Linked DNA regions of Schizosaccharomyces pombe. Changing the gene in region 2 together with the main gene of any one other region gives a genetic interaction. Each region holds a gene or a part of one and is shown on either strand. Other genes may lie near its edges. The genes, in order: ckb1, lem2 and dsh1.

What was found.
Region 1: of lem2 (region 2) and ckb1, changing one enhances a phenotype caused by changing the other (phenotypic enhancement), as found in Schizosaccharomyces pombe (one study listed by BioGRID).
Region 3: of lem2 (region 2) and dsh1, changing one enhances a phenotype caused by changing the other (phenotypic enhancement), as found in Schizosaccharomyces pombe (one study listed by BioGRID).

What each region holds. Positions count from the first base shown.
Region 1 is NC_003424.3:4,500,236-4,503,991, reverse strand, and holds the start of ckb1 (CK2 family regulatory subunit Ckb1), read right to left. Parts: upstream 1,711-3,756; 5' UTR 1,585-1,710; coding exon 1,562-1,584; exon of another isoform or gene 1,483-1,561; coding exon 1,203-1,482; exon of another isoform or gene 998-1,202; coding exon 605-997; 3' UTR 310-604; coding exon of another isoform or gene 1-309. Other genes in the region: ric1 (Rab-specific(Ryh1/Ypt6) Ric1-Rgp1 guanyl-nucleotide exchange factor subunit Ric1/Sat4), read left to right, coding at 1-309; 1-acylglycerol-3-phosphate O-acyltransferase Slc1, read right to left, coding at 2,456-2,969, 3,033-3,358; nuc2 (anaphase-promoting complex TPR lobe subcomplex subunit Apc3), read right to left, coding at 3,712-3,756.
Region 2 is NC_003424.3:2,232,189-2,235,944, reverse strand, and holds the start of lem2 (LEM domain nuclear inner membrane protein Heh1/Lem2), read right to left. Parts: upstream 1,668-3,756; 5' UTR 1,348-1,667; coding exon 1-1,347. Other genes in the region: protein Edc1, read left to right, coding at 1,858-2,796. UniProt on the Schizosaccharomyces pombe protein: Nucleus inner membrane protein involved in meiosis. Plays a role in regulating nuclear envelope (NE) morphology and nuclear integrity, particularly during spindle pole body (SPB) extrusion or insertion through the NE, and perhaps during karyokinesis.
Region 3 is NC_003423.3:423,691-427,446, forward strand, and holds the start of dsh1 (protein dsh1), read right to left. Parts: upstream 1,757-3,756; coding exon 1,720-1,756; exon of another isoform or gene 1,661-1,719; coding exon 1,533-1,660; exon of another isoform or gene 1,471-1,532; coding exon 1,231-1,470; exon of another isoform or gene 1,183-1,230; coding exon 1,057-1,182; exon of another isoform or gene 1,003-1,056; coding exon 734-1,002; intron 706-733; exon of another isoform or gene 684-705; coding exon 222-683; intron 182-221; coding exon 92-181; intron 49-91; coding exon 1-48. Other genes in the region: BRCT domain protein Brc1, read right to left, coding at 2,470-3,756.

The DNA.
Region 1 (3,756 bases), 2.3 Mb from region 2:
CCAAAAGACTTAATGAAAAAGTGTTTAGAAACAGAAGATGTTAAAAGTGCCGCAGAGTGTTTGATAATATGGCAGATCCATCAGGGTTCAGCCAGTTGTGCTTCTACCTTTCTAAGTATATACGAAATGGCTTTAAAAATAAAAAACTGGGACGTTTGTACGGAGTTATCTAGCTACCTGGTGAGTCTGGATCCCGAAAAACGTTTACTGAAGACAGCGCTGGAACTTCTCGATGAAGGGCCTGATTCCAAGGACATTCGTCTTTACGATCAATTTAACAATTTGATGAAAGAAGTGGATAAATATTAACCACAGTATATGTCATGATCAAAACTAAATTATTAAAGCAATTATCAAAGTAAAAAAAGAGGTTCAAAGCTGAATAAGCATAAAAGGTTTTAGCTTCAATGATGATTAGAAGTTTGAAAATTACGCTCTTAGATAAAAGGAGCTGATGCTTCGGGAAAAATCTAAAAACGTAAAAGTTCATTCTAGTAAAAACTGTCATAGCTATAATGTAAATAAAATTTTTTGCCTTGGTGATTATGGGACTTCGAAGAATCGGGTGAACTTCTATTGTTAATGAAGATTAAGCAAAATGCCTTTAAGTTATTGCCAGTTTATTTTTTGATTCAGCTTCGGCTCCCTGTAAACGCTTTTTTTGCTTTTCTTTGTATACATCTTGTTTTTTAAAGGTAGCAGAATAGCTATGTACTTTGAAACCAAAAATACGTGGAATGTAGCGTTCTTGAGATTTAGGGACCGCAAGTTCAGGGTATACCTGAAAAAGCATGTGAGGGAATGAGGTTCCAAAATATGCACCATCAATGGATGCATGTCTTTGTGATTTTGGTGTGTACACATCCTCACACCGAGGACAGTATAATTTAACGGATTTTGTATGGGCAATATCCGACAAGCCGACGGGCAACATTGGCTGTCCGTTGCATAAAACTCTAGGGCAATGCCCAAAGTCACATTTTTTGTATTTCTCAAGCTAGAAAGGATGTTAGTCAAAATCCAAAGCTAATTAAAACGAAATAGTACGGTATGACATAAATGTAATAAAATTGAAGAATTGAAAGATAAGTCAAGTTACACACTTAGTGTCCATTATACTTGTCTAATGCCTGTTTTGTTCACGAAGATTGTATCCAAACTTAAAAACAGGAAACTAGAAGTTTACAAACATAATTGCTTACCATTTTATATAAACCCTGAGCCGTTAAGATATAACGGGCGTGAATAAGGCCGTACAAATGACGAGCACTAGCTTCTACCTCATCTTGTACTTCCTCTGGTAAATCAGGATCCAATACATCTAAAATGAGGTCTAAAGACTGGGAGTAGTGTGGAACTTCATGACTCAATCCAGTCAAATTAAAGCGATCCTGGATGAAGTCTTCGTCGACTTCGCAAAAAAATTCGTTTCCTTTTAGTCCTAAAAACCAATCAACCCAATATTGAGAATCATCGGATTCACTGCAATTAATGATTAATAAACGGTCCAATATGGCCAAAATGTAAAATATTTTTTTATTTAACCCTAATTTGCACAAACCTTTCCGAAGAGTATAGCTGCATGCTTCGTTCCGATTTACGTTGAAAAGCTGCACCAAAAATCCTAATTGCTTAATGCAAAATTTGATTTCCGTTTCAGCCTTAGCAGCTTCTAATATATGGAAAATTTGAAGAGAAGTACGTTGTCGTATCGTAGTCTTTCTGGAGCTCCGGTGTTTTCCTTCATTCTACACTAAAGGAATGAAAAACTAATTAGCGTGTTACTAGAAATTCAATTTGCTGCACTTCGGTATGTTATCTAGCACTTAAACGTTTATGCACTGGGATGCACTATAGTAGCACAATAGTTCATTCTATTAAAACTGCTTTAGCAACAAAAATGAAATATTTAGCGTTCCATCTGCTACAAAGCAACTTCTATTTTGTTATTGCTGTGTTATTTACATTATACTTGATGTTGTACCTTTTAAGGAATAATACAGGTGTGACAGTGACACTTTGTAGAATGATATAGCTATCATTGTAGTTAAGTCTCTAATATTGTACTGCTTAATAAGAAGTCGCAATAGATAAAACGTTGGTTCAATTGGAAATTTGAACAAACAAACTGTTCTCGCTTCGAATCCACAGTGAATTATATAAATTACTATGGCTTGCGTTTCTCGAGATTCGTACTTAGGGAATCTTGCAATATACATAACCAGCTACTACCTAGTAACTGCCAAATAAATCGTAAAGCTAAATTAATCAGTTATTCATAGAGGTATTTATAAAAAGTACGGCTTGTTCTAAACAAAAAAAGAAAAGCGTCAATGATATTATCAAACCTATTTGATTTAAAACGAAACAAACCACCTTAGGATAGGTAAATGCTTCTCTCAGTTGAACTAACAAGTAATTATATAAGAACACCAATTGTGTGTCTTCTTCCTATTTACTGTTTTTTTACCTTTCCATAGTCATCGATTTCAACCAATGCATTGTTCATAGCGGTTTCAGTCTCGTGTAGAAGATCATTCACATCTTCAGCAGTTTTCCCCTCCGTAGGAATTGGATCAAGCACTTTAATCAGAGCTTCACCTTTATTGAATACTTTGGTAGGAGGATGAAACAAATGACCATAAGTCTGAATTGCAATAGGAATAATGGGTACTTGAGCCTGTACAGCAAGGTGAAATGCGCCCTTTTTCAAGGGAAGAAGACAGGGCTTAAGGCTATAGGAACGAGTGCCTTCTGCAAATACCCAAATAGAAATATTTTCTTTGCGCATTCTTCGTGCCGCTTTCGCAAAAAGTTGAATCGCATCACTTCGGCGAGACCTATCGATAAATACAACGTCAGACAATATCATAAACCATCCCAAAATGGGCACATATCTTAGAGACTTTTTAGCAATAACAGAATAATTAGGGCCAAAAGTCCTTCCTATAGCCAAAATATCCAATTCACTAATTAAAATTGTAAGTCAGTTATTTTTTATCATAAAGAAGTATATTTTGAGGTATGCTTACGATTGATGATTAACTACTAAGACAGCAGACTTATGTTTTCTCAAAATTTCCTCGTTTTCGATTTTAAACCGAAAGTCAAGGATTGTACTAGCCAGTCCATAATATGCCTTTGCAGTTAAATATTGTCCCATTACGGGATAACCACATAAACGTGCAACAACTGAGGCTATAACCCCATAAGCAGAACTAATAGCTAAAAATGTGTGACATGCGAAATAGCGAAAGTGATATCTAATACATTTCGGGAGAGTAAAAAATCGGTTGATTCCGCACAAACCAACAAATACTGTCACAGTAGCAAGCAGCGTGCTCTTAATAAAACCCATTTCGAATATGTACACAGTAGAGAAGAGCAAACTTTCAACAACCCTTCCTTTCGTTTTAAAGTATGGTTGGTGCGGTGATAGTAACGTTGGTGATTCGTAATAAAAATGAATGGCCTGAGGACATTTCATTAATTGCACACTTTAAACTTAAGTTATACCCACGGTGATTTTATACACAATTTTTTTTATCATTGGTTATTAATGATATCTATTATACCTTTATTTTAATATATAACTTCTAAACGAAAATCATCATTTTTAAACCTAACCAGAATGAAGACGTAAACATTCTAACTCATTAACTTATTCATTCGACAATTTTTTGGCATCCCTAAAATACAAGACATAATTTCTTAAGTTTCCAGATTCCTATAAATTTCACCTGTTTCAGTTAACAA
Region 2 (3,756 bases):
CATATTTCGTTCCAGCAAATCTGACGAGTTATTGCTACAATGCAAAATTGCATTCCAGGATCTTAATACACTTAAACATTCTTCACGAAAAATATTAACACTTTCTTCTCTAGAAGTATCACTAACGCAATACTTGGAGGGCCAAAATCCTAAACTTGAATACCATGGTTCGTAGAGGACATATCCGGGCTTGCATTCAACGTAATTTGGAGAGGGACATATTGCATTCGGAGGGCAAGTTCTACACAATGATGGAAAACTTATTCCAAGAATTGAAGCAGAACTTCCACTGGCACCCGAATCACAGAATCCTGCTGTAAACATTTTCTCCCGTAATAAAGCCAGAAAAATTGCTGCCACCACTCCTAATAAAATCATAAAAATATGCACTAAATAAGAAGAAGATATCGCGCTGATTCCAGGAAAGGCGCGCAAATTGTGAAGAAGACGATAATTGGCGTACTTAATGTCGTGAAATACTTTTTTAATAAACGACCAAAGTTTGCTTTCTTTTCGAGTCTGCTGCAAAACGTAATTTTGAAAAAGCTCGTCATCTTCCTCAGCAGAGTCTACTTCAGAATAAGGCGATGAAGATTCAGAGGGCCTTGCACTGTCAAGAGGAGCAAACTCGATATCTCGAGAGACTCGCTCAGGAACATTAGTAAAGGGTCGTTTATGTTGAAGAGGACTAGAAGTGGCTGAAGTTTGTAGACGATGTGATATTTTGGGAGACCTCAATTGTGGAGAAAAATTGTTTGAAGATGAAAGCAGCTTTAACCTCTCCGAAAATGCTGGCGAAGTATGTAAAGCAGAGCTATCCATAAATGACATAGGAACAGCTACCCTATGAGATTTATGCGAGCGAAATTTTGGTGTAGACGCGTGGGCTGGCGGAGTTTTCATAGTCAGCGATGTTTCCACATTAGGGCTCAATTCAGAATAGGACTGAAAGGTATTATTTTGAGAGACGTGCGGAGACTCTATTTTAACCGGGGTTTCAATGTTGCTAGGTTTGTCAATGAATTGTGGAGACAGAAGCGGTTCTGTTTCGTTGTGTGGCTTTTTCGTGCTTTTGGAAGGAGAGGAGGGATAAAGGTATTTAGGAGCTATTTCATCCTCGGAGCTAGACGCTTTTGAGGTGTTAGAGTTTTCCTCTTTTTGAAGATGAGACAATAAATGTTGTGGACCAGAGCTTAATTTGTTTTTCCGTATTCTATCCACCATCCTAATATACTCTATTTTTCTGGCATTCACAGGGAATGACACTCCCGATTCATGAAGGATCTTTTTCAAGTCTATGACACGAAGATTTCGCAATTCGAAGTTAGGGTCCTCCCAATTGTCCATGGTGAATAATTCAAACTGATCAAAAATGGTATAAAGCTGATATAAGCTAGTTAATTACATGAATCCTTATCTACATTAAAAAGGAAACCTGGCATAAGTTGCTGATTCGTGAACGTAATTGCAATCCCATACAAATTTATAATATTACAGCAATGAGCTATAATATACTTAGGAAATTGCTTGAATTCCACTGTTCAAACACACCTTTTCAAATTTAATAAAAGACTTCACTAAACGAAGGTAAAGCAATTTCTTATTTCTCTATCTTTGTGCCGAATCTTTGTTTTCCTTCTTTCTTTTTGCCAGTTAAAGTGGGTGGCAAATAATGGTTAAGGGAAGAAAGCTCTATAAGGAGGCATAGCGCAGCTCATTGCTTTGTGTCACCTCAGCCCAAATAACGTATATTGGGTAAGAGTGTTGCCCCCGAAGTTATCCTTAACCAACATCAATCACTAAGAATACAGAATCCATGATCATTAGGGATTACTCGAATTTTGACTATAGTAAAAAATGCAAAAAGACATTGGACGTAGATTTCAACGTAATAAGAAGAAAATTAATTCTAAACCGGGCGGAGCAATGGTTGCTTCCAGCGATGTCGAGTTCAGTTTAGATGGAATGTCGATTATGCCCCAACGAGATGGTAATCTCCAGATACCTAACTTTGTGAAACCCAAGAGTACTTTTGCTACTTCTAACATTGGTGAAAGCAATGGTAAGCGAAATGGCGATAAAGTACGCGGGAATCGACGCTCTAAATCTGGTCACAGTTCGTATGCTGGCTCTCGTATCTCAGGTGGCAATTCTAATTCCCACCTTCCTTCTGGTGTTGCTTCGGCTCCTGCTGGCTTAGGAATTGATAAGGTTGCCGTCGGAGAAGTTGATTCTCATTTGAAGTCTGTATCTTCTTACGTTTCCAATTCTTCCGGTGCTGATCGATCTTTTTCTTCGAATTCCTCTTCCGATACTAATTCCATTCTTTACGCCGGTCCTACATTTACTCATTCTCCGGCCGCTTCTAATCTTCCCATCCCTACGTTCTTACACTCTCCCGTTTCCGAAAAGGCTGAATGGCAACCTCCTACTGGTAGTGTGAACTCAAACATGCCTTTCCAGTTTCATCAATCTTCCTCTGTTCCTTCAACCCCATCCGAAGTTGCCATGGGTCATAATTTTTGTCCGATGTCTCGTAACGATCCCTCATTGCAGAGTATTCAACAGACGAATGGATTTTACAGTGGACACAATTCTCCTCATACTAACTATTCAGCTTCCACTCCTTCTTTTAATCACTTCAATGCTGCCGGCCATCCCACTGGTAACATTACCCCTACTTTGAATTCCCCTAATAACGGCATTCATTGTCATTCTACTTCTGCCCTAGACTTATTGTTTCATCGCGATCGTGAACAGCGCTTGTTCCGTATGCTGCGTCAAGGAAGTGCATAGTTTCATTGGATGCTTATTTATGTCTAAGGACATATCACCTTTTTAAGCCTCGTGTTCTGTTCTAACTATTCCACTTTTTTGTTTCACCTTCTTTCGTCTCCGCGTTTATCTACACGTGTTCGTTGTAGCACTATTTATTTGAACATTGGCCAAGAGAATTTATCATAGTCTAGTATTTTTGCTAGTATTATGACTTTCTTACTATCACCCTATGTACCTCTGTCTTTCTGTTTTTTTGGATTATAGAATTTAGCTCTCTATATGGGTTAATTTTGTTTCCTTCGCTTTTGGTTTTTAGAGGATTTCATACAAAAGCTACTGAATTCCTTTTCTAACGGCTTATAGTTAAAAGAAATGCCAACGTTTTTAATGGATTTCTTGGATTTGAAATCTTGATTTTTATTGACTAGATTTCCTTAACTTCATCTTATTCCTTGTTAGTTAATTGAGCGAGCAATTCATTTATAATATGGAAATGTTCGTCAATGACTATTTATCGAAAATGTGCCTCGTTTACTTTTCGATTTGTATGCTTAGAATGGGCATTTGTTACCTTTTTTATGAGCGTTGGGTGTTATGATCTGCATATTGCATTAATTTTATTCTGGCTAGTTTTTATTATGCTATTAATAATCTCGTTGTGCTTTTATCGAGATTTGTTTGAAACTTGTTTCACCGGTCTCGTACATTTTTTTCTCTTGTGTTTTTTTCTTTTAATTTTCCTAATTATTACTGACGTGTTGCCTATTGCTTTGCGATGACAGTACATCTTATTTTCCTGTGTCGAGGATTATAGTTATAATCTTCTTTTCCTCTCATGAACTTGGCTTTGGTTGCCAACCTTTTAAACTTTCGTCCATGATATACATGATGTTTGCTAATATAAGTGATATTTATGTGGTCACCTTTTTTGGCGAATGTTGTAACCTATCTTCTACGCTCAAGGAGTACATGCAATGT
Region 3 (3,756 bases), on a different chromosome or scaffold from region 2:
CGAACTTTTATGTCTCTGGTATTCATAAAATAGATTCTTCCATCATCACTTTATGGTCAGCTTATAATTTTCTTTTAATAGTCAGCCTTACGACATAGAAATATTTGATATGAACTCTTTGTAAAAAGTTGAGTTTTGGGTTGGATGTCCATACTCAATGTAAAGGTTCCATGAAAGCGTACTGCAAGAGTGTTAGAAAAGAAATGAGTAAAAACACGTACTTCAAGTTGTAATAGGTAACGTCCAAGGCTTTGTACATAGTACTTTCAAGATACCACCCGCTAGGTTTGCCTGAATTAGTATTCCATATTGCAGTCAATGTATCTTGAACACCTTTGCAATTCATCACTTCAAAATGTACGGCTGTGATAGGATCATCTGAAAAAGACTCAAAGAGTTTTTCGCCTGTGGGACTACGGAGCTCTTTTAAAACATGGCAAACTTTTACGGAAACTTCGTCAGAGAATAAATACCTCAAAAACGTTGACCGTGTTTGGGGCTCCAAAAAACTTTGTGCAATGTTCACGGAGTTATTTTTCACCTTATTAGTACCAACTTTGAGTCGTTCAAATAGAGGTATACCAACTTTAACTCGCATAAAAACTGTACCTGAGAATAAAAAAACATTAAATAAAGATGCTGAAACGAAATTTTTTAAAAGATTGAAACTCCTTTCACGAATCCTATAGTTATGTCAATAAATATACCAGCCTTTTTAAAAAAAAACACATACAAGTTAATTTTAACACTATCGACAGGAGTCGGTATCGATTCGGGTAGGCGATGCAGATAAATAGAATTTGGCTTGTATTTCTTCGCTAATGGGAAGTTTCGATCATAAAACAGTTCATAAGAGGTTGAGTAGTCGTCAAAATTCATTAGATGCAGTATTGGCTGAGTCCTTTCTAATCTAATTAAAGAGACCTGCTCGTAAAAAATGTGTTTGACTCGCTTCAAAGCAACCTTTAAGTTTTTTACACTGTCGCATCGAACATAAAAGGCCTGAAAGAATGAAATGTAAGCATCCTGTAAAAAGAAATTACTTAAAATACATACAGCTAACTTGGGCAGATAGTGGATATAACATTGGCAATCCACACGGACTTGATTGAATAAAGTAAGATTTTCTCCACCGAAAAATTCGTAAACGTCCAAATCATCTGAAGGTAATGTGAATAAACCCTAATAATCGTCAAGTTATTATAAATGAGCTCAATATGTAAATATTACCTCTGCACGAAATGACAAAGAAGGATCCACATTGAGTAAATATTTTTTTAAAATCAAAGCATCGCGTTTCTTCTTTCTTACTAAAGCAGCTTCTTGACTTGGAAAATCTTTTCGGGGATTTCTGTACCATTTGGAAGCTGCCTTTGTCTCGCCTTCACGAGTATGGGAGTTGTAAAGTGTTTGCAGTGCCTTGGTAGCCAAGTCAAACATTTGTGGGGTTTCATAATATATGAAAATAGCCTGTAGTAATATATGCTAATTAGAAATGCAATCAATGAATGGATAACCCCAAACAAACCTACACTTGAGTGCTCTTCATACTGAATTAATGAAGAGGTTCTTCTTTGAATTTTCGAAATCTCAGTTTTATACCTCAAAAAAAATTTGTTAAATTCATAAAGGGTTCTGAACGTAGGATATGAACATTCGCCTAGGTGAAAAGCAATATATTAGTCAAAGCTCCCAGTACATTCAATGAGCATTTCATACGTTTTTTTCTTATTGAAAATTTCTTATTTTCTGCCATTGCATGTTTTTTTCTCTGAAGTCGACTGCTCTTGAATTCCAATCTGTCAGCAAATCATAAGTGATCTTTTTCCAACTTCAAAATAATAAAATTTTTTAACATTGAATTGACTAATAATTCTCATTTTTAGATAATCATGATCATTCAGTTCAGTAAGATCATATTCTTTTACCTACAAGTGGTGATTTACCAAAATTGATTTTTGAGAGCAAATATCTAGAATATAGGATTCAAGCAAGATTTCGTAATTTGAGAAGTACCTGTTTATTATACAAAAAGTTGTTCCATAAGGAAGACATAAAGGACGACCTAAACTGCCCTTGTGCTAAACCTGCTCAAACTTGGAAATACCTGTAGTACTGCTCAGTACATATCTTAAGTTGAGGTGACAATTGGAGTAACGAGTATAGATTCACTAGTTGCAATAACGGTATAGGACTAGTATTTTTAAAGGAAAGACATCTACGTATCAAGTATATATATTGGATAGAGGCATACATCCTTAGTTGTCAAGCATGCCTGAATTTTGCTGCTGTGAAAGAAATATAGTGCTATGATCAGAGTAGGTGAACGGAAAAAAGGACCAAAAAAGAATGTTTCCGTAATATTTGGGAAAGTGTAGTGTAAAAAATAATTTCAATAAAATAAAAAATCTCTTTGTACTCAAGGTTCGGTTTGCAAACTTGTAGAAGTATTGGCATATAGTAAACTAATTAAACAGCTCTTGCAAATTCATCAGCGATACGGTCATTAACATCGATTTCTTGGCGTAAAACAGTTTTAATCAACCAGTCATAATTTTGTAGAAAGATAGTTTTGTTTTGGGAAGCATTATCAAGAAAATTAGTCCAAATATGAGAATCTTCATTGCAGGTAATCAAGACCACGTTTCCATCTTCTAAGTGACGTGCCAGCCTTTTATTGTAAACATTTAAAGTTGAGCAAACACCTCCGTTGGACTTAACAATGCTAATTACCGCTGGAACATTTTCAGGAGCTACAGTTTTTGAAGTCAAATAGACAACGTAATCCTCCAACAGAGAAGGACCTTGTGCCCGTGCTCTTTTCAAAGCGGATTCTAAAGTGCATCCGAGTTCAAGTTCTTTTTCGGGATCATTCAATAAATACGGTTCTTCGTCCACGATCTCATGAGTTTTCAAACAAGAATTAATCCAGTCCATTGTAACAACACATGGTCCGTAAGGTATAGAGCATAAAAATTTAGATGTTCTTAAAATTCTAGGAGCTATTAAATGTGTGCATTTACTTGGATTAGAAGTAATCGACATGTCAAGTTTCTTAAGATTATCGATACTAGGTTTTTTATCGTAACCAGTAAAGGTTATGTATACTCTTTTACTAGCTTTGGCATTAGTGTTTCGAGACTCTGAAGACTCGCGCGAAACCTCTCCACTAGAAACTGACCGGTGTGTTTGACGTCTTTTTTTTTCACGTTCAAAAGCAAGAACGTCTGGCATGATGACATTTTGTAACATTGATAAGGCAGTTGCCGCTGATTTCCGTTTACTTCGAAGAAGTTGTGAAGAATTGAGTGGATTCACTCTGTCAAGCTCATCTATCAGCTTTTTTTCGTCCGTATAAGTTTCTTTATGCGAAGGAACTACCACTTTAGGAGTTAATGACAATGGGGATTTTTCTTTAATGACATTATCAACAAGTTTCGTAGCCAAAACAGGTAACTCGTCATCCGAAGAAGCCTCCTTTAATGACTCTTTACTAGGAGTACCCACTAAAAGTGGAGAGGGAGGAGTATTAGTTTTTGAAGATTTAGCATCTATTTCTAAACGCCCTTCATCTTGCAATTCTCTATTTACTCCAGTAATCGTGGAACCTTCATCATTGCGGTCATCTTCAGCTGCTAAGCTTGAACCTTTATCAGCACTTTGATTAGAGAAACTTGAAGTAAGTATTATGTGCTTACCAAAATTATCTGATGTGCTTTTAAATTCCTTCTCTAGTTCTTCATTCGTTTTATTGCC